Linked DNA regions of Xenopus tropicalis. The protein of the gene in region 3 interacts with the protein of the main gene of each other region in a biochemical or structural test. Links are inferred from orthologs where the notes say so. Each region holds a gene or a part of one and is shown on either strand. Other genes may lie near its edges.

The links.
Region 1: of the proteins of zfp36 (region 3) and mapkapk2, one has a biochemical effect on the other in vitro, tested with the Homo sapiens proteins (2 studies listed by BioGRID). The link is inferred for Xenopus tropicalis from reciprocal best matches to the Homo sapiens genes ZFP36 and MAPKAPK2.
Region 2: the proteins of zfp36 (region 3) and ywhab form a complex in vitro, tested with the Homo sapiens proteins (2 studies listed by BioGRID). The link is inferred for Xenopus tropicalis from reciprocal best matches to the Homo sapiens genes ZFP36 and YWHAB.

Annotation. Positions count from the first base shown.
Region 1 is NC_030678.2:74,164,316-74,175,652, reverse strand, and holds part of mapkapk2 (MAP kinase-activated protein kinase 2), read right to left. Parts: intron 5,970-11,337; coding exon 5,830-5,969; intron 1,998-5,829; coding exon 1,933-1,997; intron 1-1,932. UniProt on the Homo sapiens protein: Stress-activated serine/threonine-protein kinase involved in cytokine production, endocytosis, reorganization of the cytoskeleton, cell migration, cell cycle control, chromatin remodeling, DNA damage response and transcriptional regulation.
Region 2 is NC_030686.2:12,514,413-12,525,749, reverse strand, and holds the end of ywhab (14-3-3 protein beta/alpha), read right to left. Parts: intron 6,320-11,337; 5' UTR 6,312-6,319; coding exon 6,018-6,311; intron 5,230-6,017; coding exon 5,106-5,229; intron 4,104-5,105; coding exon 3,940-4,103; intron 3,770-3,939; coding exon 3,674-3,769; intron 2,438-3,673; coding exon 2,381-2,437; 3' UTR 1,677-2,380; downstream 1-1,676. UniProt on the Homo sapiens protein: Adapter protein implicated in the regulation of a large spectrum of both general and specialized signaling pathways. Binds to a large number of partners, usually by recognition of a phosphoserine or phosphothreonine motif.
Region 3 is NC_030684.2:81,498,865-81,509,385, reverse strand, and holds the end of zfp36 (tristetraprolin), read right to left. Parts: coding exon 10,068-10,521; 3' UTR 8,338-10,067; downstream 1-8,337. UniProt on the Homo sapiens protein: Zinc-finger RNA-binding protein that destabilizes several cytoplasmic AU-rich element (ARE)-containing mRNA transcripts by promoting their poly(A) tail removal or deadenylation, and hence provide a mechanism for attenuating protein synthesis.

The DNA.
Region 1 (11,337 bases), on a different chromosome or scaffold from region 3:
AAGCTAACTTTTTATTCATTCCTATGGGATTGTTAGATGCGCATTTATCGGTGGTTGAAAATTAGACATTACCTATTGATAAATACGCTTCTAAAAGTCCCATAGAAATAGAAAGTGGATGAGCAGTAACTAAAGTACCTACAAAGAAGAAGATTAGAATAGTGCAAAGCACTGTAGGAACTGGAGAGCTGAATTCTATACATAGGTTCTGTAGTCTGACAAACTGACAAGGGCAGACAAACTAAAATTTCATCCAGCCAATGCCCACCTCACCAGATCTGCAGGTTGGGTTCAAGCTGTCCATACACAGACAGATTTAAGCTGCATATTGGGCCTCTTTCAGACCTATTCAGGCTATAACAAAACTCTGGTAGTTCTTACTGCTATGTGAAGTACCATTTGCAGCACTTTTTTCTGTTAAAAGATGCTACACCATGCCCAGGTGAAAATTTTTCTACATTTTATAAACCCAAATATTATTATTATAAGCTTGAATTTGTCAATTTTATCAGCTCAATGAAGTTCAGTTTGTTTTTTTTCTTACCGTCCAAGGTTAACGATTAGAATCACTGAGAAGATATTAACAAATAAACAAATCCAGAAAGTCTGAGAATAAAAGGAGGATATCCTTTAAAGGTCAGCCATGTTCTGCCTCCCTAGTACATGAATGTCAGAGATGGGTAGCTATTTTAAAGGTCTTTAAATTAATCGATTTAATTATACTATAGAAATATTCACCTTGTCCGTATTGCTATCCATTTGCAATGGACTGCTAGTAATTGGCACATAAAAAAGTCATCTTGTCATGATATAGCCTTTCCCAGCATTATGCCTCACTATAATTCTTCTTATAATACCATCTGAACGGGCATAATCCACATGAACAGTTTTCTTTCAGAGTATCTGTACCTAAGCATTAGATGCCCTTTTTATTAGGCCGAGCACATTCAGTATCAACTAATTAACTGGAAAGACAACATGATAGCTGTCAACAGTACGGAAATAGACCATTCTATACAAAAAAAAAAACTTAAAACAAAAAGGTGCACTTTTTAGTATGAACATATGACTCGAGTGCAAAATAAGGCAAACTAGTCCTTTCATGTGTCAAGCTCTGATTCTCTTTGAACTTTTGTTTATTTAACAAATTGACCCACCTACACTGAAAGCTTCCCCTTTTGATCCAGTGAAAGAAATGTACTCCCTTACAAAAGTGTTTTTTTAAAAAGAGTGGGTTCAAAAGAATAATGCAACAATAATAAGCCTTTTCTGTGGTAGGAGATGATTATTTAGAACTAATTAAGTGAATATCAATTAAGGGGAATATCTGGGATGACACAACCTGGGAGAGGCCACAATAAAACAGACAAATGGCTTTGTGGCCTACACAATATTAACTTCATGTTTTTTTATGAGATGAAATGCTTCATCTGCCTAACTGCAGCTGGTTTATGTTTGGGTCATTTTAAGAGCTATATATAACCTTTACATAGGTTAAAAAAAAGCTTGCACATCCCTCAATCCAGTGTTATTGTGCAAATGAACCTTTGCTTAACTGCTTCAAATTTGTTAATAAATGTCCACTTAACTTTACAATCTACTGTGCAGAGAAAGTTAAATGTGCTATACAAGTCTTCATAAGAATAAATAAAAAAGGCCTTTTTAAAATGAGGGATCTTTAGGCCAAATCCTACTCTGTGAGAGCAATGACAGTAAGACGCTGTGTCCGAGCCCACAGCCTTTTGGTGATTAAAACAGGCAAAATCTATGTTTACTGCAAACCCTATTAGTTGAACTCATTTTAAACAAAGGGTATTTCTGTCCCTTTAAAATGTAGCAATTTACTGTGAATGTAAAGGCAATTGCAGAGAGCACTACAACTGAATGAGAGATGAAAGCAATAACACACACTTTCTATCAAAGTCCACCTACCCCTCTCCGTGAAAGCTTGGTCCCCTCTATCCTGGATTCTGCTGAAGAGTTCTCCTCCATCCAGACTAAAACAAGTAAGGCAGATATTTGTCAGAGATTATAATACTGATTTTCTGATAATAAAGGATGAATTAAATAAAGTAGCCTTTAGCAGGCCCCATAATAGACAAATTAGATTTCCACTGCTCAAAGCTCTAGGCTAATGCACAATGAATCATTACTGGAAAAACTCCTATATACATCAAGAAACATGGGTGGACATTTTTATTTAAAACAGACATTAAAAACAAGAAGTGAAACTGCTTTTAACTTTCCATATTCTTGCCTCATAACATCTCCCCAATGACTGCCTGCACAGTTTGTAGCCCCATTCCTTTGTGCAACCTCCCCAACCTATGGGGGTGTCGTTTGTCCCAAATACATTTTGTCTACAAAAATCTGTATACCAACATATTCCCAGTACACAGAATTAAGCTCTCTCAGGGTACATGTGTAATTGTGGCCATAAGCACAGGCAAAACAATATATATACAAAAGACATATTTCTTGCAAAAGTATGAGAACAAAATTAAGTTTGCACACACAAGAATATTATATTAAATATTCCATTCTGTCTCAGAAATGTGAGAAATCCATCCATGTAACAAAATAAGTAATATTAAAATGCAATGTTAATGAAAAAAAACGATAATTGCTACAGACTTCATTCAACAAAATAAACATACAGTTCCACAAAACTATGTCAATATCAGTTCTGTGTCTTCTGTCAGTCAAATTACTGACTGACAGAAAAAAGCATACTTATTACTCAATAGCAAGCAGGTTGTAATGGGGGTCCATTTACTGATTTTTTTTTTTACAGGTTCTGTAAAGTCTTGACAAACATACACATGAAAATGATTAGACTGTAGGACATATTTAACAAGATGAAAAGCTGCCAGCTCTCCTCCATGTGGCTATGGAGAAGATATGATACTATCTGGCCTATACAGGGTGGCCTCTGTGCTGCATAACAATAAATACGAACAAACATTTTCTGAAAGGGCTGCTGTTAAATACAACAGATTCTTAACTGAAAACCATTAATATGCTAACTTGTTGTTGTTCCCATTATCTTCTAACCTAAACCATTATTACAATAGGCCCAATATCCTCTTAATTTTATCTGACAAACTCTCAAGTCAACAAAACAGAAGTTATTGATTGTATCATATTAAAATCAGCCTAATATTAGAAGCTTAACTACCCACGGGTGAGAGGTCCCTCCATATAGTAGCAATGTAACATAGTATATGTAAGATATTTATAAATACACGTGGGTACAGTACCTACCCATATAACATATGCTACTTCTTTTAAGTATACCGGCTGATTAACCTCTTTACACAGCAATATGAAGTTGCAGCCCCTCACCCATGAGTAATTATGTTTTGAAAGGAGAAGTTAAGCTATAAGAACTGGGAGGGCCAACATTTTAGTCATCCCTCAGGATTGCTTACCTAAGATCCCTGGCCGGTGCTCCTGTTGGCTTAAAAACTGCAACAGCCCAGGGTACATGCACAGTACAGTAAAGAGATAAACTTTAGAAGCATAAAGCCAGCTTTTTACTGTACTATGCAAACGAACTGGCCTAGGCCTGCAGAGATTGTGATTTTAATAGAATACTAAAAAAATCTTGCTTGAGAGTATGTCAGATGTTAATGAGGCGATATTAAGCCTATTGTATTGATGAACTCACTATGCCTGTCATTTCCCTTACAGATAATGGGAATAGCTAGATCACCTCAAGTATATAGTATACAGTATATAGTTTGCATGCTTTACTTTTAAAGGGACCAGTCACCCTAAGAAATAGTTCCAAATTATTCTATTGTGTGTTTGTCAAGCAAAATAAACTTTACTTACACTATATAAAACTATTTAAATCTTTTTTTCCTTAGTAGAATTCACTATCACAACAAGTAGGCTCTATTTTGTGGATACTGTTATTATGGCAAGCTTTGCATCATTCCAAAACCTTATTTATGTGCCAGAATTGGGAACCTGATGCTCATGCACAGACTATACAATTTAGACGTTGAGAGGAGAGGAGAGTAATCACATCTAGAAAGTGCAGAATGTAAGGTGAAAGCAATTGCCTGCAACGCCTCTATGCCTTAAGCTGGCCATACACGTGGCGATCTAACAATGTTTCGCGTCAGATCCGCCACACACAGTCAGGGCTGAAACAATAGGATTTCTACCTCCTTCTGCCGATTCAGTCCTGACGGCAGATTTTGGTCAGGCGCCTTCTATGGCGCCCGATCAAAATTTTCTAACCTGGCCGATCAGCGAGTCGTCTCATATCAGCAGCTTCCTGCGATATCGGTCGACTCGCCGACATGCCATACACGCACCGAATATCGTACGAAACAACGTTTCGTACGATAGTATCGGTGCGTGTATGGCCAGCTTTAGGCATACAGGTGGAGCAGGCAGTAAGATTGACTGATAAGAATTTTTAAATACAGGTATGGGATCCATCATTCGGAAACACAATATCCAAAAAGCTCCAAATTACAGGAAGGCCATCACCCACAGACTCCATTATAAGCAAATAATTAAAAAAACATTTTTTAAATGATTTCCTTTTTCTCTGTAATAATAAAACCGCACTTTCACTTAATTCTGAAGATATAATTAATCCTTATTGGAGGCAAAACAATCCCACTGGGTTTTATTAATGTTACATATTTTTTCCCTCCCCCCTCTTCTTTCTGTACCTGTCCCCCCTATTGTTAAAATGCAAAAATAAAGATTTTTAAAAAAATATATATATATTTTTTTAGTAGACATAAGGTGTGGAGATCCAAATTATGAAAAGATCCAAATTATGAGAAAACCCCAGGTCCCGAGCATTCTGGATAATAAATTCCATACCTGTACCCTTAAAACAGGTATTGATGTTTTAATTAAAAAAAAAAAAATTGGGTTTTATGTTCAGTTTAAAAAGGACCTCTATAATGCAGCTTTTTAGGTCTGAGTGACAGGTCCCCATTTAACATTAATTCACATCAACAAAACTTTTTTGTACAACTGAATAATTTTGTCAGTGCAGCATTAAGATTTTTCATCCAATCTTCCAATTAAGAAACAATTCAAAAGAAAATAGTAAATGGACTGTAACTAAAGATAGCTTTTTATTTTTTAATGAGCGTGTTTGCTCCTTATTGGCTAAGTAATTTGACTGACCGAATTGTTTCACAGAATTGATAGTGGAAATGAAACAGTAAAAATATGTGTTCATTTTGTTGACAGAATTAATTCTGTGCTAGAGAATCTTTCTTTCTTTAACAACCATATATTTTGTCATTAAAATATAGCTAATTAGAGCTAGATATAAATTGTGTAGCTCAGCATACGCTAGTAATTTACACCGTTAAATAGTTTGCCCATGTTTTTTACATAATTCATTCTGTAAGTAACATTACACATTACTAGTCGTTACATGTGTATTAAATAGTTGAGAGAAAAAATGCTTGTTTAAATTGAGTTTTTAATATCATTATACCCTTCTGAATAAGCTTGATTTTGTTCTCATTCTTCACTAGAAATATATGTCTTTATTTTTCACCAATGTATATTGTGGTGTATATGTTAACAATTACATATGTTCCCCGAGAGATCATCATTCTGTATATTGAGATTATATTTGTATACAGAATGCATTTGGGATTAATCGAACCCCAGTACTAACCTGCAGCACCTCACAAAGCACTCTTTCTTGCTAAAGAACCTATATGTTGCTTTGTAACATTTAAAATGCATATCATTTATTGCACTGATTAAGGTTGTTGCATGCAGATCATTTTGCTTACAGGCAAATTCCTGTAAAAAAAAAAAAAAAAAACAACTTACCATTCCATAATAATAAGAAGACACTTTCTAGACTGGTATAGATTTTCGTACACATCAATAATCTTCACGATATGAGAACACTGGGAAGCCCGCCAGTGCAGTTCTACCTCCCTGCGTGCCTTTGCACAGTCCTGTAACATCTGCACACATTGAGAGAAAACAGAAAGGAGCATGAACATATATAAGCCAAATTAATAAATAGTGAATACCTGTACATATTACTCGAAAGTGCATATAAGGCATACAGTATAAGGCATATGCATGAGAGGATGAAGTTCTGACTTAATACAAAAGCAAATCTTGTGTTTAATGTTCATGTTTTTTTCATGGTTCATGGGCAAACTCAGTTCCAGCAGGCAGCTTGAAAAAGGGGCTGTTTTCTTTACAACCAATAAGCACTATGGGACCAAAATTTGCAGCTGCTGAACTCTGTCAAAATAACTTGATCAGTGCCTGCTTCTTTAACAGGGGACACAGATAGTGGTAGGAAAATACCCTGCCTCAGACTGTAGTCAATCCAAAATGCTGGATAGCAACAAATGAAGGGGAATCAGGTCACATGTCTGACATACCAGCATTAAAGGAAAAGACTCTCCACCTGCTGCCATCCATTTTCACCACAAAAAAAATATAAATGTATATGCGTGTGAGTAAATATAAGTAGATAGATAGAGACAGACAGATTTGCCCTGCAGCCCTGGTGGGGACAAGGTAAGAAACCATTACTGTCTGTACTAAAGAAATATTTACGGAGACTCTGGTTTCTATGTAGCTACAAAAAAAATTGAAGCAGCAAGATATATTTTAACAGAAACACTTCACTCTGTTTATAAAGTATCTTAATGCATTATCTTGTAAAAAGTGTCCATTTAGGACAAGTGATTTGCACACACAACTCTCTATATGACTTAATGCAGCAGCTTTGTTCAAACAAGGAGATCCTGGCAGTGTGAAATCACTGAGGCAGCTCAAACATCTCTGCAGCTTCATGAGCTGATGCGGAAGGAATGCAGCCCTCCTGTGCTGATGTAACACACACGTCTAAGGGGGAACGTAGGACTCGAGCAAACGAAAACTAAGCAGCACCTGTACATAAACTCATACTGCTGCCAGAACTCTACATTAATACTATATTTGCAGTCCAGGACTTTGGGCGCCCTCTCCACCAGACAAATGAATCAAATCAATCTTTACCAGCTTGCCCCATATGTAATAAAAGGCACTAAGTTTGGCCAGTAGCAGTAACCCATAGCAACCAATAATATGTTTGCTTTTAAACAGCTGACCAATAAATTCTACCTGCTGATTGGTTGCTATGGGTTACTGCTCCTGGGCAAACTTAGTGCCTTTTATTATATAACCCTCTGTGTCATTCCTACACATAAAATTATTACTATGAGCCACTGAGCCTCAGTAGTTGATAAACTACATCCGCCTGCATCTCTTGACAGTTTTCTGCTATAGTTTACATATTCTTGCTATATAAATGTTAGTCAACTAGTGAGGGTGGCATGTAGAATATTCTTGCTTTACAGATACTGTGCCCTTTTAAATTTTACAAAATGACAAGCTCTCTAAGCAGAGCATGTGTTTATAAATCAAGAATGCATATTAAACAAGCACTAAATATTATCTTATTAAACGGTGCTCAAGACTGGGGAATACACACTCTGTATACTTGAAAATATTTTTAACAAGGTATCTTTAATGTATGGTAACTTTTGACATGCTACAAATTACATCAAGACTGTGTTCCCATGTCATTCAGTTTAAGAAGCTTTTTATGCATGGCACAAGGACAGTATAACTTTCAAAAGGGATAAGTAGCAGGCTACAATATAGAAGTCACTAGATTACATGTTAGAATAGAATAAAATAGAATAGAATAAAATTGGTCTAGACCTTGTTTACTGAATGGGGGTGAGGGCTTTAATTTTCACACTCCTTCAACAGAGATCTCACTAGGATTAGCAATGGTGGAGGCATAGATATTATTAGAGTGTTACCTTTAATTTAATAAAACTTAATTAAAATCAGGTAAAGCCAGCATCACTAATAAAATATAACAAACTAAAAATTCTACAAATAAAAAAATGCATACAACTAAAAAAAAAAAGTTAATAAAATTTTCAAATAAGTTCTTACAGCTCCTGATAGATATCAAATCAGCTATAAATGTCAACAATATTGTAGCAAACTCAGAATAAGATTCTATGTCACACAATCAATAGCTATCAAAAAACATCAGCTCTTTAGTATGGTATAGCTATGGAGATTAGATTAACATTCATTATATTGGCTGACTCTAATGAAATGAAGCCTGTCTGGGATGTCAGGTTTAACATCAGGCTACTGTCTGCTAACGCTCGAGCACTACCATCAAAATACATGATTTAAAACCCAAACACTGTGGACTAGCAACTGGGAAAATGCAAAGAGAATACTGTAGTCTGCAAGAAACAAAAGAAAAACATATACAAGATTTTCATGCATTGGTACTATACACCAAGAGGCTGCATATGCTTTTCCTCAGTATGCATGACAGGGTGCCCAGAAAGGGATGACGTTTGATATTTTCTGGACCTGCCCCTTATTCAAACTTTTTAGGATGCCATTTCTACTTAAATATACATATACTATACTCAGTACAGAAGGATGTCTAATACTTTTCCTTGGTAAACCACTTCTTAAAGGAACAGTAACACCAAAAAATGAAAGTGTATAAAAGTAACTAAAATATAATGTGCTGCTGCCCTGCACTGGTAAAAGTTATGTGTTTACTTCAGAAAGTCTACTATAATTTATATAAATAAGCTGCTATGTAGCCATGGAGGCAGCCATTCAAAGGAGAAAAGGCACAGGCACATATCAGATAACAGATAAAACACTATTGTATTCTACAGAACTGTTATTTGCTATGTAACCTGTGCCTTTTCTCCTTTTTTCCAGCTTGAATGGCTGCCCCCATGGCTACACAGCAGCTTATTATATAAATTATAGTAGTGTTACTGTAGCAAATACACCAGTTTTACCAGTGCAGGGCAACAGTGCATTATATTTTTATTACTTTAAAGCTCTCTCATTTTTTGGTGTTACTCTTCCTTTAGAAGACCAACACAGAGACCAACACAGAAACTGATCAATCAGATTCTAGCTGCAGCAAGAATAGCTATAGCTACCAAATGGAAATCTCTAAAAATCCCATAATGGAAATACATAAAGGGACAGATAATTAGAGCCTGGTTAACGACACTACAAATATATCCACATAATTCTTGGAAACCTGATCAGTATGGAAAATGCTACCAAGTGCCGAATTAACTATGGGAAGCTTCTTTGTTAGGCCCGATTCTCCCAGAAGCTGGATTACAACCATAGATTCTAAAGAAACTCAGAATGTTATTGTAACTTCACCGAAAAGCTATAACCTCAACCTTTAGAATTACATTACTACAATGTAAAAATATAAAAAAATAAAAATAGAATAAAATGGGTTAAAAACTACATGGGAGGTGTAACACACAAACTCAGAGAGAAGACACAAGAACAAGAGTTGACCTGGGAAAGGAACTTTATTATTTAACTTTACTGTACACCTACAGCTTAGGCACACCTCACACCAAAGCAGTTTTAACGATATAGTGAAAATATTTATTTTTTTTTAAATTATTTTAAGTATACAATTGGGGAAAGACATCCTGTTTTGACACAGCAAGGACCCAGCCAGAAAAGGTGAAGTTTGTCAGCTTTGCCCCAATATTTATTTCTATAAAAAAAATTCCTACTTATCCCAATACCCAAGCACAAACCCACCCAGTCTGCAACCAAAGACAGATTCAAACTTTGTTGACATATATCCGATTAATCATTTGACCCAGTCTGCTAAAGTCATATTAGAACTTAGAAATGAAAACCCCCCAAAAGTCCTGAGTGTAGTATGCATCCCTCCCCCATGCCTTATGAGAGTCTAATGGCCTAATAATCCATCTACTGCGACATCCAGTTTGTCTACAGTTTTCCCTTGAAGGCCCAGACTTTAAAAAGGTTAAAGAGGGCAGCGTGAGCCTTGAGCCTATGTCCTTCAGTTATTTTTAGATTCCCAGTCAGGAACATTTCTACCAGAATCAGATATTGAAGTTACAGAAACTGTCACATCAACAAAAGCTAAACCTTGACTTCAGGATTAAGTATTACTATATATCAGTTAGGCAGCTTCTGCTACAAGGTTATTTTCTGTTCTAAAATAATGTCTTAAACACAAAAGTGAAAATTTCTTCTAGTACTGGTCTTAAGGCAATTTTGTACGATTTTAACAAATGTGTGTAAGGCTGATTTTATGTGTGTAAGGCAGCTCCCTGCAGAGCTGCCTTAAGTCAGGCTTAGTGTCACTATCAATGTAACTCTAACTATGTATCAAGAGGTTTTTTCTAGGTCCCTTCCACTCAACACCACTCCCCTGTAAGACTTCTTATCCCATAATGAACTTATCTAACCATGTGACATGTAGAGACAGCCTTTTTAGCAGCCACCTGGGCTTTCCCTGACTGGCATCAGTTCTACAGCAATATGTCTCTAACTGTGATACTGGGCACTCTTCCTCAATTATTCTGTATATTTCTGCTGACTAGTGGGGTTTTTTGGAGAATTTTTTAATACATCAGCTCAAAACACTACTACAGCACATTCCTTTTATTTTTAGAGGAGTACAATTCATTGGCACAATATTGTTTTTCACACAATATGTCCCCTTTAAGGTTTTGTACAATGTACTGTTTTATAATATATACAAAAAAATGAAATACATTTAATATTTGCAAAAAATAGACTAAATAGCCTTCCTGTAAGATGGTGCTTTCTGGATATCATACCTATATCTTTAGATGATTTTAGTTTTTAGCATAAATCATTATGACATGATGGCATATGCCATTATATCAAACCACTGATAACTTTTATTAAACATGATTTTTGTTTTTTTAAGAAGAGTTAGAGGGCTCTGGCACACGGGGAGATTAGTCGCCCGCGACAAACCTCCCTGTTCGCGGGCGACTAATCTCCCCGAGTTGCCATCATAGAGCCATCAGTTGCCATCAGAGAGCCATCAGTTGCCATCCCACCGGCGAACATGTAAGTCGCCGGTGGGATGGCACACGCTGCGCATGCGATTTTGGCAAATCGCCGAAAATGCCTCGCGAGGCAACTTCGGCGATTTGCCAAAATCGCCTGTGCAGCGTGTACCATCCCACTGGCGACTTACATGTTCGCCGGTGGGATGGTAGCTCGGGGAGATTAGTCGCCCACGACAAATCACTAATGTCACTAATCTCCCCGTGTGCCAGAGTCCTTAGCATGGAAGTTGAAATCTTATTTTTAGTATACCACAGAGAATGAATTCCCCAACCTCCATGCATATACACTCCCTCTGCTATGGGCCATGTGTAATCTGCAATGTGATTAGTTAATGTTTCTTTTAAATTGTGTGCTTATTCTTTGTTGATTAAGCCTATG
Region 2 (11,337 bases), on a different chromosome or scaffold from region 3:
GCCTACTACTGCAGATTGTCGGTGCTATAATCTAATAGTATTTGACAGGCAGATAAGACAGTTTCGTCCACAAATGTTTGCCACCTGAAGGCAGGTGTGGGCAAAATACCCCCTATTCCTTAGCCTATGGAGAGATGACCTTGTATGTATGTATATCTTTATTTATCCTTCTAGGTTCTCATGTCTCCAAGATGCTTCCTTTAGAAAACAATAGCTGTTGCACAATTTTCCCTGGCCATGACAGGGAACTTCCCATTATTTTCATCAGTTACCTCATTAGGGCACAGTTACATGTGGCGTATGGTCTACTTTGGAAGAGGAATACGATCCTATATGTAGCTCCACTGACAGGCCCGAGTGCAGCTACAAGGAGTGGAGATCAACCCGAAAAAACACCTTGAAAAACAGCCTGAAAAGCTTGCATTTTTGGACCAATCATCTCTGCTCCTTGTAACTGCACTCAGGCGGAGATCCAGACTGTATACCATGTACGCCTGCACCCTTAGGGCAAACATGGCGGCCCCATCTAAACAATTGCTTCCATGCCAGAGACCCAAGCACTGACCGAAACCGGCACTGGAAACATAAGTATTTGTGAGAAAGTGGTTTGGGCGAATAAAAAGCCAGACCAAATGATAACATTGTTTATTTATTTCGCTCTTGAATTCTTACATGTTCCTGATTATTCCGTGTAGAGTGAAACTAGAGCTGTTCAAAATACATTACACAAATTGGAGTACATCAATAACCAGGGGGTTTTTTTTTTTTTGCGTTTTTAAAAATTTATTTTGTTTCTTTGTTGCTAGACTAAATTTCACAACCACGTGTGTGCTAGGTAATAAAACCAACACAGAAGCAAACTTTAGGCAGAATACTGGTCAGTAAAAACAAAGCGAAAAGAGCTACCAGATATACAGACAGGCTCAGTTCCACATTCACTACTGCATTTATCAAGCGCTAGTATTAAATGCACATTTTTTGGGGGGAGTTTTTTTTTGTTTATTTTATTTTTTTTGTTCGGCTAAAGAGAATTGAAAATCAGTGCATGAAAATTTTTGCTTCCAAGCGGACAGATGGACAGACACCTAGAAAAATTTTACAGCCAAGTGGAATGTATTGAGAGGAATGATACTGTGATACTGGGACAGTGATTACAAATCAAATACAGTACTTCACTGGAATACATGTCCTTAAAGTCACCGGAGGAAAGGGGAAAGGTAAACCGATTTACTGATATCACCAATATTAATCCTTAACTAAAAATTAAAAAAAAAAAAGTATTTTAAAATTTGGAAGGATCTTGGGTGCGGCAAGGGACAGCTGAACTAGGTGATGCAATGGTTAAGTTAAAAAATAAGGGTAAGTAAAGGCAAGCAGAACAATGTGTGATCACTTAAAAATGTAAACTGTTAAAATACTGTGCCCAAAAAAAAAAAAAAAAAGAAAAGAAAAGAAAAGGAAGATAAAGTAGAAAATAAAGAGGAGGCTAATTTCTAAGATATTACACGACAAATGATATTATGGGAAGACCATACAAATCTTTATATATTTTGCAAAGAAACCAGTAATGTCATCTGTATACATACCAGCAATGATAATTACCAATATAATATTGTACACTGTATATTGTATGTAATCTGTTTGAGCCCCTGATGTGCGTAATAAAAAATTTTTTCTTTTTTTTTTTCCACCTTTTTTTTTCTGAGTTACAGTGGCTAAGTGAGCATTACATCGATTTTCAAAAATTGTGACTAAATATATATATATAATATATTTATATATATATAAAATAAAAAAACCCAAAACGACTTGATTATATTCAGGCTTACAAACTAGGTTCAATATGTACCATGTCGATCAAAACATATCTATCACTGAAACAACTGCAATACACTATGGTACGAACCCATTCCATCCCGAGGGTCACAGTATGGTCACAAACGCTCTGTCAAACAGTTAAAACAGAATTGTACGTCGACTTTGTTGTTACTGCCGAGGCAATGAAAGGTTCTAATGTGGTTATAGTGATTGCCAATTGGAAATTATAACAAAACTCCGTAACCGTAAATCACAGTGTTCAGTTAAAAAAAAAAGGGGGGGGGGAGGGAGGGGAGAAAAAAAAAAAGGGACACAATTACATATTTAAATCATTTATATTTATATAAAAAGAAATAGAATGCCATATTTTTAGACTGAGAATGTATTACTCCTACACTGAGTAAAGACGCCAGTCTTGTTTCCTAATCCACATATTGTTCTGCTACTGAGGTTGTTTAAGTCGATGTACTATTCTTTTAACTTGTTGCACAAAAAGGGATATATGTGTATACAAAACAGAGTGACTGAACAGAAAAAAAGGAAAAAATATGGGTGGCCGTTGTTAGTTGTCCGCCTCTGCATTATCAGCCTCTTCGCCTTGGTTTTCTGAGGTCCATAGCTGCAAAGAAACAGGAAAAGCATGAGTGTAAGAGCAAATCATATGAAAAGTCTGAGAACAAAAATAAAAATACTGCAAGTGAGCTCTGTATGTACAGTGTGTGGTTCCTGTATTATCTTTTCTGGCAGCCTGCCTCCTGCTGGTCAGAAGTAAAAACCAGCGTTAGAGTGTAGGACACACAAAGAGTAGGAATGTACTAGCTAAAGACAAACTACAGCAGTGATCCCCAACCGGTGGCTCGGGAGCAACACGTTGCTCACCACCCCCTTTGATGTTGCTCCCAGTGGCCTCAAAGTAGGTGCCATTTTTACATCTCTGGCTTGGAGGCAAGTTTTCGAAGCTCAGAGACAAAAATACTCCAAGCAGAACCTCCTGCAAGCCAGCAGCCCACATGAAGCTCCCAAATAGCCATAGCCCTTATATAGCATCCCCAAAGAACATTTTCATGTTTGTGTGGCCAACCAACACTTTTTATATCTGAGTGTGGCTCAGTAGCTTAGTATTAAAAAAAAAAAAAAAAAAATAGTTGATTATCTCTGATCTACAGCAATAGACAAATAATATACATACAGGCCAATAGGCTGCTGACTTGGCTGAAGTGAGGTGCCATACCTTCTGTGCATATCACAAGTGGCTCAGTTGGCCTAACATGGTTAACCTGCTGTTGGTGGCTGCATGGTTTGTCCACCAGAAGAGTTTTGACAGGTCATCCTGTCTTCCTATTGGTTTCCAGTCTGTCTGTCCAAACTTATGAAATCTACCAGTGTCATTTTCCAGTGAGTGAATGGGACTGATGAAAGAGGACCTACAGCCAATTGCCCCAATGCAGTGATATTTAGACATTTTAGTACATGACCAAATTTCCCAAAATACCCCAGACAACTGAAAGGAAAGGCCTTAGGATTTTGGTTTGCTATAACCTGTGAAGGAACTACAGTCTTATCAAGAAAGGATTCTTGTACATATCTTATTTTGCCAACTAACTCAATTAATCTGAACTGGTCAACTAAGTTTGCACTTAACCAGATATTTACATTTGGTCTATACAGCAGCACAGAATGATCACATTAGCGTGTATATAGTCAATGAGGAAAGTATTACATGGTATGTAGTTGCCCTCTGAAGCAGTGATGCAGTTCAAGACACTGCTTTCAGACACAGGGCAGTCTGATGCAGTATACTTGCTTTTTTAAAAAGATGAAGGTGAAGATGACATTAGTTAAAAAGAAAACTTACTGTAAGATTGTCCCTTAGTAGCTGCATGATAAGAGTGCTGTCTTTGTAGGACTCCTCATTCAGCGTGTCCAGTTCAGCTATTGCCTCATCAAATGCCTGCAATGAAACAAACCCATCTTTCAACTTGTACACAGATGGCAAAGACACTTTCTTTACTGCCGATTCTACGGCCAACTTAAATCAATTAGACTGCAATCGCACTCAAAGTCCCACACAAAATAGACAACATACAAAAATACAGAATTTAAAAAAAAAAAAAAACTTACCGATTTTGCTAGACTGCATGCTTTCTCAGGAGAGTTCAGAATTTCATAGTAGAAGACAGAGAAGTTTAGAGCCAGTCCGAGTCGAATAGGATGTGTTGGTTGCATCTCACTTTTACTAATTTCAAATGCTTCCTGGTAGGCTTGTTGAGAGCAGGTTACAGTTTCTAATGGGAAACAAATATAAAATGGTCAGCTCATTAATACTGTACATTTTAATATATTGTAGCAATTTGATCCCTAAAGCAATTCTGACACGACAAAATCATATTTCTAATTGCAGACAAATAATTACCCAATATCCTGAGGTTTAAACTTTGTTGTATTATCAAGGCAATAGAGGCCAAAGACTTCAATACCCACAAAATCATCCCTATTTGATTTTGATGATTGATTTTTATTTCAAGATGGCCACAAACTGCTGCCCAATTTCAATTTATCATTATTCATCACTTTTATGTTTATATAGTTTAGTTATCTGCTTCTTGCCTGAGCTAAACTCACCTAAATTTCTCTTTTTCAAGCCAAGAAAGACACATTTTGCACTTTTCACCAAGTACATGCTGCCGTTTAAAAGCACCAGTGATTTATTTGGTTTGCAATGACTCGAACGGGATATGCATGGAAGCAAAGATCTTAGCTTGTTTTGAACTGAGCAGCATTCATGCCAGCACTTCTGCCTTTATTCCATTTAAATCAATAGGAACTGGTGATAAAAAAAAACCCACTAGTATTCTTGGGCTAGCTAAAACATACCAGTTGAAAAACGAAATGACCCAAGGCTCATAGTTTACTTAATTTTAGCATGATGTAGACAGTGATGGAGCGACACAGTGATTAAAATTAGTTGTAATTAATTGTAGCTTATGAATTAAGTTTTTTGTTCTGAAACTTCGCAATTTTTTATTTCAGCAGTTAACTGGTTGCAAGGTTCCCACTTACCTTAGCAACCAGTCAATAGTATTAAAGGAACAGTAACACCAAAAAATGAAAGTGTATAAAAGTAACAAGTTTACCAGTGCAGGGCAACAGTGCATTATATACTTTAAAGCTCTTTCATTTTTTGGTGTTACTGTTACTTTAATGACAAAATGGCCTAAATTAAAAGACAAATAAAAATAAACAGCATTAATGAAATTGCAGATATTCTTCTCATTGGTTATACAGACCTTGCTTACTGTCTCCAGAAGCTACTTCTGAAAGGTATCGGTAATAATCCCCTTTCATTTTTAAGTAGAAGACCTTGCTTTCTGGTGGGGTTGCATTCGGTACAAGGTACTTATCCAGAAGACCCTACAAGAACACATACGGAAGAGCCCATTGTAAGCATGTATGTACATATGTGTATATTTCTGCTTTTAAGAAAATAGAATAAAATCTAAATATAAAATGTAACTGTATTTTAACACCCATGTATATTTTGCATGTTTTATAAGGTTTGGTTGCACCCATGGCAACTGGAGGTACCTGAACATTTTCTCAGCTAGGCAGGCTGTCTATAGTACATAACCCTATAAATGCCAGTAAGCCTGCAGGGGGACAAGAAGATTACTGCAGACAATCAGTACATTCAGTGCGAAAGGGGATTTTCACCTTTTGCTAAAGAGGCTTTTATAGTTTGCTATTTGTATTGTATGTGCAATATGGGGTAGCATTTGTAGGCTATATACCAATGAAATTGTAACTGTTTTCATGTTTACATGGGGCATCACAAGGTAATATGGGGAGTGTATGGGGAATGGCGAATTTCTGTTTCTGGATAGGACTCAAGACAATCAGATCTATGTCATGCAAATAAACCAGAAGGGACACACGTATTTTATTCATTAAGCTCATCAATTGTTCTTATAATTCACAATAAAAAGTATACATAGAAGTATCTACAGAAGCCGTCAGTACAATAGCACCGTGGTACATCTGACCAAGGGCAACCAAAACCTATAGTTGCTCATTAAACCTTTGCACCCAGGACTATAGGAGAACAATATGCAAGTAACATATATGCTTTAGCAGCCCTATAAGAAGCTTTAGCTGCTTTGCCTTATACCCTGCAAAGAAAAAAGCCTATTAGAATTTATTACCAGAACATCCTTGCAGATATCTTGCAACTCTGTCTCCACTTTCTCACGGTACTCTCGTGCCATCTGCTGCCGCTTATCATTTCCTTCTGTCTTCTGCTCAATGCTAGAGATCACACGCCAGGAGGAGCGTCGGGCGCCAACAACGTTTTTGTAGGCGACAGATAGCAGGTTTCTTTCCTCGTTGGACAACTCGGCACCCAGCTCGGTCACAGCCTTCATGGAAGCTGCCATGTCGTCATAACGCTCGGCCTGCTCAGACAGTTTAGCCTTCTGTACCAGTTCGCTCTTGTCCATGGTGAGATCTATTGAGAAGGTACAAATAAAAATTGTTACTCAACATCCAACTAGACTTGAAGCTTACAGAAAATCCCTTTGAGAGAAACATAATATAATCAATAACAAATGCAGTGCAATGCAGGCCTACTCTAGACCTAGGATTTGATTATTCAGAACACCGCAACAGCCATTTAATTCTGCAGCAAGCAGCTTCAATCACACTAGGTAATCATCTTTAGTATAACGCAGCGTAGTCGCTTTCAGTTAGTCTGAACTGTATCCCTATGGAAACACAAAGGAATCACTTCTCTATTTCCAGGAAACTAACTAGATTAAATTTAACTGTGGGGGTTTTCCTAAAAAAACTGGATACACATTTTTCCTTCACCAGAAATTGGTCAGACCCAGTCAGAGAGGGGTTTGTAGTGATTATGAGACCTTTATGCGTGTGGGTACAGGTATAGGACCTGTTATCCAGAATGCTCGACACCAAGGGTATTCCGGAAAAGGGGTCTTTCCGTAATCTGGATCTCCATACCTTAAGTCTACTAAAAAATCAATAAAACATTAATTAAACCCAATAGGATTGTTTTGCATCCAATAAGGATTATTTATATCTTAGTTGGGATCAAGTACAGGTACCGTTTTATTATTACAGAGAAAAGGGAATCATATAACCATTAAATAAACCCAATAGGGCTGTTCTGCCCCCAATAAGGGGTAATTATATCTTAGTTGGGATCAAGTACAGGTACTGTTTTATTATTAAAGAGAAAAAGGGAATTATTTTTAAAAATTAGAATTATTTGCTTATAATGGAGTCTATGGGAGATGGCCGTTCCGTAATTCGGAGCTTTCTGGATAATGGGTTTCCGGATAAGGGATCCCATACCTGTACTATGCATATGGAGGAACTGGTCATGCACCCCCTTTCATGACCCAATTAGAGGGAATAAAGAAGAACAAATCATGCTTTGCTTTGGAAGTGAGAGAAAATCCATGTTTATTCCAAAAGCATGCATTTTGACCAATCATAAGTTGATGCTCCAACATTTTTTGGTGGACAAAGTCAAGTAATGTCTAAGAAATACACTCCAATGCTCTTTGAGAATTAAAGAAAGACCTAGGGCAGACACAACATGCTGATTGAGGCCAGTGGGTATTGGTCAAGCATTCATATTAAATTCAATTTGTTTGCTTGGCTAATGGCCAGCCACTTGCCATTCTGGGTCTGCCAATACATCCATGGGGCAGGGCTTGTGGCATAGGTGACATTTTGACTGCTGCTGCCAGCATTTAGAAAACAGTGGCAATCCAAAGACCTGTTTCTGCCTTCCCATCATTAAATGGGCTTTAACTAGTGTGTTTCTTATAGCTCTCTATGGGAAGCAGTTTCTAGGCGGAGAGGGGTATTTTAACCTCCACTGCCCCATGAGCCATAGCCCTTACATCTTAATAAATGCTTGATTAGTGATGCCTAACTTTCTCCATGGAGCAGGTTATTTGATGGACAATACATTTGCAGGCTAGATTGTATCAAAATTAGGCTGGGGTCATAAAATGTAAGCTGTATTTGGTCTGTGGGTTTCCAGCAGCAAATCCCTGCCTTAGAACATCACTTAGGCTTGTATCATGAATTCATAAGAAGAGGTTAGAAAAAAAGCAGCTTCCTTGGGCTTCAGTGGTATTTCAGGTATGGGACCTGTTATCCAGAATGTTCGTGACCTGAGGTTTTCTGAATAAGGGGTCTTTACACAATTTGAACCTCCATACCTTAAGTCTACTAGAAAATCATTTAAACATGAAATAAACTCAATAGGATTGTTCTGCCTCCAATAAGGGGTAATTATATCTTAGTTGGGATCAAATACAGGTACTGTTTTATTATTACAGAGAAAAGGGAATCATTTAACCATTAAATAAACCCAATAGGACTGTTCTGCCCCAATAAGGGGTAATTATATCTTAGTTGGGATCAAGTACAGGTACTGTTTTATTATTACAGAGAAAAGGGAATCATTTAACCATTAAATAAACCCAATAGGACTGTTCTGCCCCCAATAAGGGGTAATTATATCTTAGTTGGGATCAAGTACAGGTACTGTTTTATTATTACAGAGAAAAGGGAATCATTTAACCATTAAATAAACCCAATAGGACTGTTCTGCCCCAATAAGGGGTAATTATTTCTTAGTTGGGATCAAGTACAGGTACTGTTTTATTATTAGGGCTCTGGCACAAGGGGAGATTAGTCGCCCGCGACAAAACTCCCTGGTCGCGGGCGACTAATCTCCCCGAGTTGCCTTCCCACCGGCAAAAATGTAAGTCGCCGGCGGGATGGCACACGCGGTGGAACGATTTCGCGCAAATCGCCGAAAAAGCCTTACGAGTCTTTTTCGGCGATTTCGGGAAATCGCGCCGCCGCGTGTGCCAACCCTTACAGAGAAAAGGGAATCATTTAACCATTAATTAAACCCAATAGGGCAGGTCTACCCCAATAAGGGGTAATTATATCTTAGTTGGGATCAAGTACAGGTACTGTTTTATTATTACAGAGAAAAGGGAATCATTTAACCATTAAATAAACCCAATAGGGCTGTTCTGCCCCAATAAGGGGTAATTATATCTTAGTTGGGATCAAGTACAGGTACTGTTTTATTATTACAGAGAAAAGGGAAATCATTTATAAAAATTAGAATTATTTGCTTATAATGGAGTCTATGGGAGATGGCCTTTCCGTAATTGGGAACTTACTGATAATGGGTTTCCAGATAAAGGATCCTATACCTGTACTTTATTTTATTATTACACAAAAAAAGGAAATCATTTTTAAAAATGTAAATTATTTGGTTAACACAGAGTCTATGGGAGATGGCATTCCTGTACTTCAGAGCTTTCTGGATAATGGGTTTCCAGATACTGGATGCCCCCTGCATCCACTTCTTTGGATCCCCACTAGTGGTCCAGTCCCACATTTAAGAACTTGCAGGACTAAAGGGCATGTGAAAATGTGTTTATCCAACTAATCTGCCCGCAGGCCAAACCGGCAAATATTGTGAGTTTGCAGTAACTGCCATAAAAGTGATTGGGAAGTGGGGCGTCCTGATGGGTCTTCCATTGCTCCCCGAATCAGGTAAAGATTAGCTTGTTTGGAAATCTTGCCAAATTAAAATTATGTTTAATAAACTATTTGAAAAAGAAAAGGTCAAGTATTTTAACAAATGCTGTATTTTAGTTCAAAAGGTTCTAAATGAAGGGTATATGAAAATCAACTTTAAAGGGCCATGGCTATACTGAATGCATATTAGTTATGGTGTGTTCATGAGAAAAAGGCCCCTACACTGACAACTTTGTAGAAAATCAGATAAGCAGAGGCATTCTTGTGTCACACACATGCAGCACACTGCCACCCACTGGCCTGCCTCGGAACTGGAGGCTCGGATCAAAGGTAATTAGCAATATTGGCTGTGAAAGGATTTTCTACAATGTCATGTATGCAATTAACAGCCGAGCTTCTTGGTGCAAGGAGGCTATAGACAACCCGGCACAAAGGATCCGTACAAACAAGCTAAGCACATTTTCTAATGAGAAGGGTATGCAGAGCAAATATGCAACCACAGTGCTAATCCTGAGTAAAAGAAAAAAGCAATTAAAACGTTAGAAGAATTTAAAAAAAAAAATGTTTTGTTGGCATAAACTCTGCTGGTACATAGAATGCAATGCAGCACTCCAGAACCAAACTGCTTAATCATGGCAAGGCACACTGGGCAGAACGTTTATATTCTCACTCTAAACGTGCCATTATTAATTATTCATATAGCCAAGCATGCCTTTGTTTGATAGACTTTTGAGATAGACTTCTGATTTTTTAAGAGCTGTACACATGAAATATGGATGGGAGTCATAGCAGGATTAAAGGCAGCTTGTCAGGGATCAATACTGACCATCAGCTGAATAAGGAGCCAAGAAATGTATTGATTAAGCGCGGCTTAGGGGCTACATGGGAGATCAGGAAATGTGTGTATAGATTGGCAGACCTTTTCCTATATGGCTGTATATCATCTCACTATATGGGCATATACTCATATCTCTAGATGGATAAATTGGAACAGGTATAGGATCCCTTTAACCCAAAACCCGTTATCCAAAAACCTACGAATTACAGGAAGAGCATCTCCCATAGAGCACATTATAAGTAAATAATTCAAATGTATTTTACCGAGATCCCTTTCTTCTGTATTAAATAGTACTGTGTACTTGATGGGAACTAAGCTAAAATTCTACTGGGTTTATTTAATGGTTAAACTATTTTTTAGCAGGCCTCAAGGTATGGTGACCCAAATAATGGAAAGATCCATTATCTGCAAAGCCAGATAAGTGCCAACTTTATTTAGGAAATACCAACTACCTTCTAGTGGCTGAATGATAAGCCCAAGGGCCCACAGCAACCCTTTGTTATACAGGTATGGGACCTGTTATCCAGAATGCTTAGGACCTGGGGTTTTCCGGATAAGGGATCATTCTGTAATTTGGATCTCCACAATTTAAGTTAAATCATTTAAATATTGGATAAACCCAATGGGTTTGTTTTGCCTCCAGAAAGAATTAATTATATCTTAGTTGGGATCAAGTACAGGTGCTGTTTTATTATTACAGAGAAAAGGGAATCATTTAACCATGAAATAAACCCAATAGTGCTGTTCTGCCCCAATAAGGGGTAATTATATCTTAGTTGGGATCAAGTACAGGTACTGTTTTATTATTACAGAGAAAAGGGAATCATTTAACCATTAAATAAACCCAATAGGGCTGTTCTGCCCCCAATAAGGGGTAATTATATCTTAGTTGGGATCAAGTACAGGTACTGTTTTATTATTACAGAGAAAAGGGAATCATTTAACCATGAAATAAACCCAATAGGGCTGTTCTGCCCCCAATAAGGGGTAATTATATCTTAGTTGGGATCAAGTACAGGTACTGTTTTATTATTACAGAGAAAAGGGAATCATTTAACCATTAAATAAACCCAATAGGGCTGTTCTGC
Region 3 (10,521 bases):
AGTTCTCTCAATAGTGCCCTTAAGTCTCCACATATTTCTCCCGTTCAGATGATCAGAAGCCTCATAGGAAAAAAAAAAAACGCTGAACTCTGTAAAGAAAATTCCGATAATGACTTGTTCCTGCACCAAGACCAAGACCAGTGTACATGCTCAGTTAGTAAGACTATGAGAAAGCTTCCTGCTGATTGGCTCAGATCACAAATTCCTAAGGGGGTGTTAACAAATCCTGTTTCTTTTGATAGAGGACTCAGTGCAGCATTTCTGTGAATGCTTATGGCTGTTTTTACATAGACCTTTCTGTTAAAGCTTACTGAGTTTTACCTTTCATTCTCCTTTAATTAACTTGCCTGCATGTTTTGGAGTGTGGAAGAAAACTGGAGTACTTGGAGAAAACCCATGCAGACATGGGGGGAAGAACATACAAACTGCTTAATAATAGTTCCATAGATGACATCTAACTGAGGACCCAGCAGTACAAGGCAGCAGTGCTAACCAACTGAACTACCATGCTTTGTTTAAACAGCCACTGCCTGACTGCATGCTGGTTTCAACCCCCTTATCAGCATCATTATTGTGCTTATAACAACATTCTAAGAAGCGAGGAGGGGGCATTTTATGACATCATTCGGACATGGCTAGACAGGCAGGGTTGTAAATGGTGCTTTCTGTGCCCAGAACAACAACCTGGCTTTTGTTAAAGCCTTAACAGAGTCAGATAAAGACTGTACAAAGAGATATCATAAGTTAGTGCTAAGCACAATTCTCATGAAAAATCATAAGTTATAGTGTGTGTTTGTGTGCATTAGTATACCTTTTCAACTTGAATCTGTTGTTTGTACTCTGGACACAAAGTTTTTATTGCTGTCATTTTCTCTGTGGAAAATGCTCTGTGCCCTCAACACCTTAAAACTTTAGCAGGAACTTGAGATTATATTAAAGCTAGCATCATAAAACCATTGACCTTCCCTTTCTCTATTGATACTTGCAAGATGCTTGCTGATATGTAGCATAAGAAGCAGTGTCAGATTGGTGTGTCTGGGGCCCACTGGTACTGCCACCTGACCCCAGTCACAAACTCCTCACCTGCCGCCAGCCTATACCACCCCCGAGCACATGCTGTGTTGCATTCCTTTTACATGTGCTCACAACTGGGGGGGGGGGGGGGAGTGCCCAAAGTTCCTAGTGGGGAGCAGGCCTGGGTTGGCATGGCCCACAAGATTTTTCCCAGTCCACCCTGATAGTAGTATGTACTGCATACAGTATTAAAAAGCATTTAAAAAGTGCACCAAAATAGCTGTTGTATATCATATAACAGGTGTGCAGAAATGTGTAACAAGGAAATCACTATGCAGCATCACAGAAGTCTATATAAACCTATTCTGACTATTACCACCCCTTGGTACTCGATGCATCACATCTGCTGACAAATACTGATTGAACAAGGCCTCTCTAATAAGGGCAGATTTATCAAAGTGTACCAACCCAAGGGGTCTCATGGTAAAGGATAAAATGCATTTTGCAGACACTTATACAACAGGCCTACAGAAAAATTTGGGTGCCCTAAAAAGACAGATCATTATGTTTCTCTAAATTACAGATGTTGCAGTGCAATTATAGCTAGCCTCAACATTGCATACCTTAGTAAGGGAACTGAAGTGAGACTTGACTGCATGTGGCATACTGCTTGGAATTCCTTTGTGGACTGCTGCATGTAGTGCAAACAACTAGACCAGTTAAAGAAGGAATTTTATTCCAAATAAAAGCACTGACACATCTGTGGTTTTCACTAGCTAAGCACAATGTATCTCAATTCAATTGCAATCTGTTAGAAACAGTATTAAAGCCAAATATATGGGGAATGGCAACAAATGTTTCTGTTAAAAGAAACAAAATGGATTAGGACACTTGAAACTATGGATCTTAAAGGAATGAATAAACAGTGAAGTTTCAAGTGATTTTTAAAAAAAACTTTTTTTTTATGGATCTCAACAGACATAGACGTCCACATCCGCACATAATTTTTGCTGATTTGGGGTCCCTCAGGCAATAATGTGTACATTGCTGAATCTTGTTCTGTTAAAAGTAAACAATTTGCTAACATAAACCCTAAAATCAATAAGTTTAATTGGTTCAAAGTAACAGCAAATTTAAAGTAAGTAGCAGCCAACTGGAAAATAGAAAATGACTCAGCTGGCTACATGGGGCTTAATGTTAATATACCTCAGAAAGTGGCAGCACTAAAATAATAAATTCCACTGCTAAAACCACATTGTATCACTTATTGTTTTTTTTTTTTTATGCATACTTGTATGCTCAGTGTATACACCCATTTATAGTATAGTGCTGTGGAATATGTTGGCATTATTAAATCCCATAGGAATGAATAGAATGTGAGTGAGTTTTTATGTATTAAGCTCTAAACTCACATTTTGATAAATCTGCCCCTTAGTTTTAGGGGTGTATTATCTATATGCAGACTATTTTGTGTGTTCCTGTATTTAAGCTACCATACTGTCTTCCTCAGCAGAACCATTTCTTTAGATCTCATCCAAACAGAATATTTTGTGGTCATAATAAATTACATTGTCCTGTTGTCTGCTGGGAATGCCTTAAGTAAATCATGAAAACTCCTACTCTCAATACAAAGAAGCAATTTTCTGTGTACACAATAAGCTTAGGTAAAATGTAAACTAAGCCTTCTTAAGCACAGAATGGTAACAAGAGAGAAAGCAAAGCCAGCATCTGCTGAGAGGAGAGGAATATAGTGGGCTGCCAGCTGGGACCCAGATAATGAACCATTTCAGTATATGGGTGCAATATACAAACTGATGTTTAAATGGGGCTTGTTTACTCCTGATAAATACAACATAAAGTCATGTGAAATTATGTGGCATAAGAATATTTAAGTTAATACAAGATCATTTTGCAATGAGGAAGATAGAAAGGAACTGATCTCTTTTGACAGGGCCAAAAAAACCCAGTAAGTGCTGGAAACCAGTAACGAGCAGGGTTCCTGTACCAGACCACATAGGGGTTCATAGAGGAGAATGGGAATTTCCAATCCAAGAATCACAAATGACTGCACAAACGAACAAGTCATACATAATTCTATGGGGAGAAATATAGTGAAATGGTGATAAGGCATAATGTGGTGTTAGCCTGCAATTTCCCCTTGTATCACCAGCAACATTACTCTGGTCTGCAAAGAGCACAGTATAGCAATGTGGGATAATATACACAAAGCTAAATAAAATTAGCCCTAATGTTAACTGAAAAAGATGCTGTTGCAGTTAGAAAAGCTATTGGGAAATATTGGAAACATTTAATATATGCTTTCTAAATATAATCAGTTAAAGAGAGGGTGAACAAGTACACACCTCACCTGAAGCTCTATGGAAAATCCAGATCTGCATGAAAGTTCATCAAGATAGTGCCAGACAACAGCAACCCTGCTCTTCATCTCTAGCACTGTAATAAATCATATTCATATTTCTGCTGTGGTATTTTCTGGTTATGAGGATAATTATTAGTAATTGCTGAAATCAGGCTTAGTGTAGCTTGAGAGGGAATAATGTCAAACCAATAGAATAAACTTTTGTACTGAAATACATTTTTGCTTTATACATGTTAATAAGGCTATTCTTTCTACTTCAGAACAAATCTTGTAATGAACTAAGGGAGGAACAGAGAACTATGAGAAGAATTCATTTAAATGATCATTTCCTGCCCACTAGCCTCAGGCTGTGTACTCAGACATGTAGGAGCATGCGTGTCACATACAAAACACTTCAAATTCCAACCCACTCTCTCCAAAGCTGGGTAAGGAAACCTTACTCATAAATGTTCTTTATAAATCCCACTTCCATAGTTTTCTCCTTAAAAGAAGCAAACAAAACATTGCATTAATAAAATTAAAAAGCTATCTTCAAACGGATAAACTACAAATCCCTGCTGAAAGTATGCCAGGCAATTCTGGGCTATGGAGCCAAATAAAAGCCAGATTCTATGTACTAAATGGAGAGACAGACATTTACAGTACGTACCTGTCACTGCTTGCCCCTGCACTTTGCTGTGCTTCTCTGTATCTTATCTATGAACTATGCCATATACTTCCACACTGCTGCATAGTGTGCAAACACCAGTCACACCACTGAGCCATCCACACATCTGCACAGTATTTAAAGTCATAAACCCTGCTTTAATTAAATAATAACAGAACATATACATAACATATAAATGCCAGTTTTGCCATGCCTGTTTCTTTAGATAGATTTTTTGGTTCTTGTCATTTTTTGTCACCCTCATTCTAGTAAGCAAAAATAAGAAGTACTGTACACTGGTGTTACTTGACACAGCTTGTACTCTCAGGCACCTATGCTCTCTTTCCTCCTGACCCCCATCCCATCTCTACAGTGGGCAGTAAAGGTCCCCATATACAGGCCAATTCTAGCTGCCGATATCGGTCCCTTAGACCGATTCGGCAGCAAATCAGCCCGTGTATGGGCACTACCGACGGGCCTGCCCGACTGATATCTGGCCTGAAATCGGCCAGATATTGATCGGGCAGGTTAAAAAAATCTAGTCGGATCGACTTTGCCTATACCCGTCGTTATAATTCGATTGCCAAGTGAGCGGATCTGAAGGTGTATGGGCACCTTAACATTTAAAGTGGCATAAGTCAGGGAGTTCAAACCATTCACTACAATGACCAGCTATGAATCAGTGCAAAATTCTGCCACTGATTATTCAGGGTGTTGAACAAGGGGCACACTCCAACCTTTTTTATTTGATAGGCTCTAGCTACTGGCTTGTATAATTAAGTCTTTAACTAATTTAATGTTGTATTTCATTTCTCATTGAATGATGGACATAAAATTATGGGCATTTCATATATTTATTGTATATGACTAACTCCCTACCATGCCACATTATGTTACATTGTATAGAATTGTGTTTTTATCCTACCTTCCTACCTTAAGGTTGTCTCCCAGGGTACAGTTTTTAGGGGTTTTGCCAGCCATGTTTGTCAGTGGTGGCCAGATTTTCTAGATCACTTACCTTACAGTATGTGCCAACATTGGTGCATTTCAAGTGATTGTAGCCTGAATTCTCAAGTGCATGTTTTAAGTATACAATGCCTAGCCTATGTGTTCCATCAGTATTCAATATGGCGTGCTTCCTGTGGAGCTGTATACACACAGACCAAGTTGGCATCTGTGGATTTATTCCGAACACTGGCCCTTAAAATCAAGCTTACTACTTTTAAGGGGACATTAAGTGCTTGCCTTACCTTATAAAAATAGAATCAATGGTGGATTTGTTGTACTTAAGTCTTTTGTCCCAAACCGAATAAATTATTGTGTGTTCTGTTTAGTGCAATGGTTTATCAATATTTACATGCTGTATAACATACAGAACCACAGTTACAAACGTATGTAAATCACCTTTCAGAACAGCTATTACTATTATATGCGATCCACAAAAACAGGTTAAAGGTGGCCATACACGTGGCGATCTGACGATGTTTCGTACGACCATCGGTCGCACGAAACATCGTAAGATCCGCCACACACCATTCAGGGCTGAATCGGCAGGTAAGGAGGTAGAAACAATAGGATTTCTACCTCCTTCTGCCGATTCAGCTCTGAAGGGAGAATTTTGGTCAGGCGCCTTCTATGGCGCCCGATCAAAATTTTCAAACTGGTCCGATCGGCGAGTCGTCCGATATCAGCAGCTTCCTGCGATATCGGTCGACTCGCCGACATGCCATACACGCACCGATTATCGTACGAAACGAGGTTTCGTACGATAATATCGGTGCGTGTATGGCCACCTTAACACTGGCCAGGGGTACATCTAGGTCAAGTGACACCTCAGGCAGCAAATCCAATCCTTTTCCCCCACGCTCACTTCCAGTGCACCAATCAGCCCACATGGGGGGCAAAATTCACAGTAGTTCTTTATACCTTAAAAAAGCCAAATATTTGGTTTAGGTTTAAAAGTTACCAACGGTTGATAAAGAGTTCCCAAGGCAAGGCAAGTTTCTTAACTTAAATGGCAGAAATGGCACTGGTATAATTCTGGTCACTGATTAATGCTGGCCACAAGCTTATTTTCTCACCACCCTTAGGTCATCTGTTGTGGATATTATTTTATTACAAGAACAGAAGTCACAAAGTTTGGAAAATATTTGTTGGCTTCATTTTAAATTATATTATATTATTAGAAACAGAAGAATCAAATAGTCTGATTCATTTCATTTTCCAGTTTGCAATAATATTTACTCACATTATTAACAGAAATATTTCCTTGTATTGCGGCATATAGTGCTTTATTCCTGTGTGTGTGCAAATGTGTCATTCTTTTCTTACTTGGGGTGTTATAAAGGATTCCCCTTTCTGACAGGGGCCACGTACATCGTTGTCACGGTGAGTAATAACTTTATTTTTGTAAAGCCAGTCGAGCAGATGAGAGAGGTGCACGTGATGCCATAAGGTTGTTTTTCTGCTTTGTCAGACTCACTCTGACTCACTGCTGACACACATAAAGGTACCTTCTAGCTTCCCGCCCAGCCTGCCTGCAGGGCCACAGCTTTCTCATCATGGAAGAGAGATAATCCATTCCAGGCTGTTTTATATTTGTTAATCAAAAGATCCTAAGCATGCCTCTATCTATCTATCTATCTATCTATCTATCTATCTATCTATCTATCTATATATTATTGTTTATATCAAATTAATTGAGTAAGGTTGCCTAAACCCTGTAGATGGTGTTGGACTACATCCGCTAATGAATCTTTTTTAAAAAGATTGGCAGCAAACTAATGGTGGGGTAAGTTAAATGCTAGGCCTATGGCATATATGGCGTCTTCTACATCTGGGCTGATCCTGTTCCCATCTGCCCTGTGTGCGCACTGACATTCATTCCTTTCACTGCGCACACAGAATATATGTGGTCATAAAAATGCTGTGTGTGCCATGGCCTAATAATTAGATAGCTTAAAACTGATCCAGAGGTAAGGAGGCTCCACATGCAGAGCTCAGAGGCAGAGTTTGGCATACAGCTCCATCTGTGACAATATCACGTACGCACCTAGGTCAATGACTTTATTGTTGCCCAAAAAACACTGGAGCAGCGGGCCCAGCCAACTTGAAGACCGGTTAGGTTAATTAGATTTCCCTGTAAACAGAGGAACAGTTGCAGCCTTGTTTTCATATATCTGAGACATAAACTAAAAGAAAGGTCTGACTAAATTTTAGACTGTAAACCCAAAAAGTCCCTAATTTGATTTATTCTACTGAAGGGCAGTGCTGGATTTCTTATCAGGACTCCCCAAAGCCACCCCCATTAGTAGCCGCCTGCCCCCCACCGCGAGCATGCGCATTCGCGGTCATTTAAACTCACATACGGAGTTGTGGGAAGAGGTCCCCATTTCTCCGTCCCTAAATTTGTGCCACCCTAGGCCAGGGCCTTTGTGGCTTTGCCACAAATCCGGGCCTGCTAAAGGGCCAGGACACTCTCTGTAAAATTTGCGTTTTTGAAAAACAGATTTCAATGGAGGATTGTGCTGGAGAAGCTCAATTAACTTATGTGTTTTGAAAGATACCTTTAACTAGGTATCTCAGGGGGTGTAGGAATAAAATAAGAATGCTTCCAATATTTTTACAGAAAATATGTTTGTATATATTTGTACTGTATGTGTATTTGCTGCAGGACCCTAGCAAGTGGGTGGAACTGTAGTACATAGAGTTGTTGGTTCCCAGTCTCTCCCACTAACTCCATAGTGTGTGTTGCATGGTTTGCAAAGAGGAAAATGTAATAGAACTTTTAAGAATGTTGCATCCGCATAAAACTACTATTGCCAAAATTCACCTTCAGCTATAGGCTTTACCTAAAGCAAATATGGTGTACATGTTGTAAAGAACTGCCCTGGAAGAATATTATGGCAGCACATTTTCGCATTGCACTAGAGCAACATTGTTCAACGCTTTCCAAGTCGAGAGGCAGTAAGCAGATATACTCTATGTATATAGACTGGATTATATTAACAGCATGATGTCCTGTATTTGGAGCCCACAAGAAGGCAATGGGTAGTAAAAATACATTGAAGGGCCATTCTCCATACTGGAGACCTTCAGGTGGCCAGGTCTGCTTTAAAGTAAACTCACTGTCAGTTGTTTCCGTTTTCAGTAGGATGTGTCAGGAGGTGCTTTGAGGTGATTTTACGGTCATCTGAAAGTGTCATATGTGCCATAAGCCTGCTTTATGGCATTAGAATAAAATGGCCTTGCTAGCAAATGAGCATTAGAGACCCCATTTTAATCTAAACACAATAACCTTTGTATGCAAATCTCTTTATTTCAGATTATAAACTCATTGCAAATGCTGACAAATAGATATTATTTACAAAATAATAAAAAATGATAAATATATTTTTCATTTTTAAAAATAAATATGATATAAATAGATTAATACACGTTAGAAGAAGCACACTTTAAGGTTAAAGATCAAGGTATGAATTAGTATCAGGTTTTGCTGATAAAGTTTCTCTGCTCCCTACATTTCTTGTTTGTGCCTGATTTTAACTCCTTGATTGCCAGAAAGGACCTGTCAGTGTAACTGTGAGGTAGGACACACATTGTTAGGAATGACCCTTTGCTGCTAGGAAGTACTGCAATGCGTGCCTAACCCTGCACCATGGATCATCAAAGACAGTAGCATAGTCCAATGCAATGGAGTTTAAAAACTAGCAAGCACTGAATATGATCTGTGTGTGTCTACAGTCTGTCTGATGGGCTGGGTGCTGTATTATAAGCAAAGCAGCATGTGCTGAAGTTTCTTATACACACAACACTAGAAATATCTTTTACACAGACCAATATGTGCATTATACAAAGACAGGGTACATCGATATTTATGTATATAGATATATATCTATATTTATGTAGAGCAGTATCTATGTTAAAGGAGCCACGTATCTTTAGTTTGCACAGAGAAGGTTATGTCTCTATTACACAAAGAGCAGAGTGCATCTGTACTATTATTCACATCAGTGTGTGTCCATGCTATGTTTAGATGAGAGTTTATCTACAGCAAGTGCTTGGATATTATATGTAGAGAGGCACATGAAGCTGTGAGCTGTGGGCAGAAGCTCAGGTAAATTAGGCTAGCTACACATTATAGTACTTCCCTCTGCAATGGGATAGGAATTCTGGGGTTGGGTGGAGTTTCCAGGGCACAGCTACAGGTCCAGACCAAGTGACACTTCTGTATGTTTGGAACCAGCCAAAACACAGGGTGCAACTGGAGGCCTGCACATTGTACCTTGTTCTGCTACATAATTCAGGGCACTTGCACATTTGAGAGACTAAGGCCCTTAAACAATATTCATAATAACTATAATAAATATCTTTCAGCTCTGAGACACAGGGATGTATCCTCTGAAAAGGTTTCATGCATATTATGGAAAAAAAAGTTAAGGAAAAACTATAGCTTAGGCACATGATGCTCCTATGTGAAAAAGTATGATTATATATATATATATATATATATATATATATATATATAAATATATATATATATATATATATATAGGTGTCTTTGAAGAATATAGCAAATATTATTTAAGAACTTTTTAAGATGTTGAGCAGGAACAGTTTTCTTTTGCTTTATGATCTCTAAGACTAATATCTGGCTGTGTTTTACAATAAAATTGTAGTAGGAGGTGAAGAGCCACTTCCACAAATGTATGTTGCAAAATACTTATTCATATAGAAGCAGCTAGTGTTTTGGCTATAGTTTTCCTTCAATCATATGCAAAAACACATTGACTACAGAGACAGAACTCAGTTCTGCCGAAGAATTGGCAAGAAGGTGCTAGGCTGGTTTTTCTTATCCTGAGAACATCTCAAGGTAATCTGGGAAGATCCCTGAAGCCTCCAACTTGTCTGCTGGAGAAATAACTCTCAGAGTACCTTGTTGCTATCTAAGGACATGATTGTGTTAGTGCGATTTAACAAGAAAACTGTATCCCCCCAACTGCTGCTAGGCTAGGGTATTTCCCTGTTTCAATCTGACACCGACAACCTGTTGAAGATTGGTAGCCTCTTAGTAGGTGGAGGAGGTGAATGATAAGACTGCTCAAAAACTGGAGATTCTGACCCACTGCTGTAGCATTCAGTCTCTGGCAGTGAGCTGCATGAAGGTGAGCGCAGGAGCATGTGGGTAGACAGGAGATCCTGGGTGATTGTTCCTGCTCTGGAGCAACGACATGAGCAGCAATGTGAGTAAGAATCGGCTGATCTCAGTGAAGACACATGGCTTCGTGCTTCAGTGGGGATTGGAGAAAAGAGCAGCTCAGAGGATGGTGGAGGAGAAACTGAAGGTGCTCTGGAGAAGGCAGCAGGGTCTGGTAATCCAGGTGGGGGTGGGGAACCCCTCTTGCTTGGCACACCAGAATAGCTGAGGCTTTGCCGCAACACGTGCTGGGAAGTTCCTTGCTCACTGGGGTGGTGGATGAAA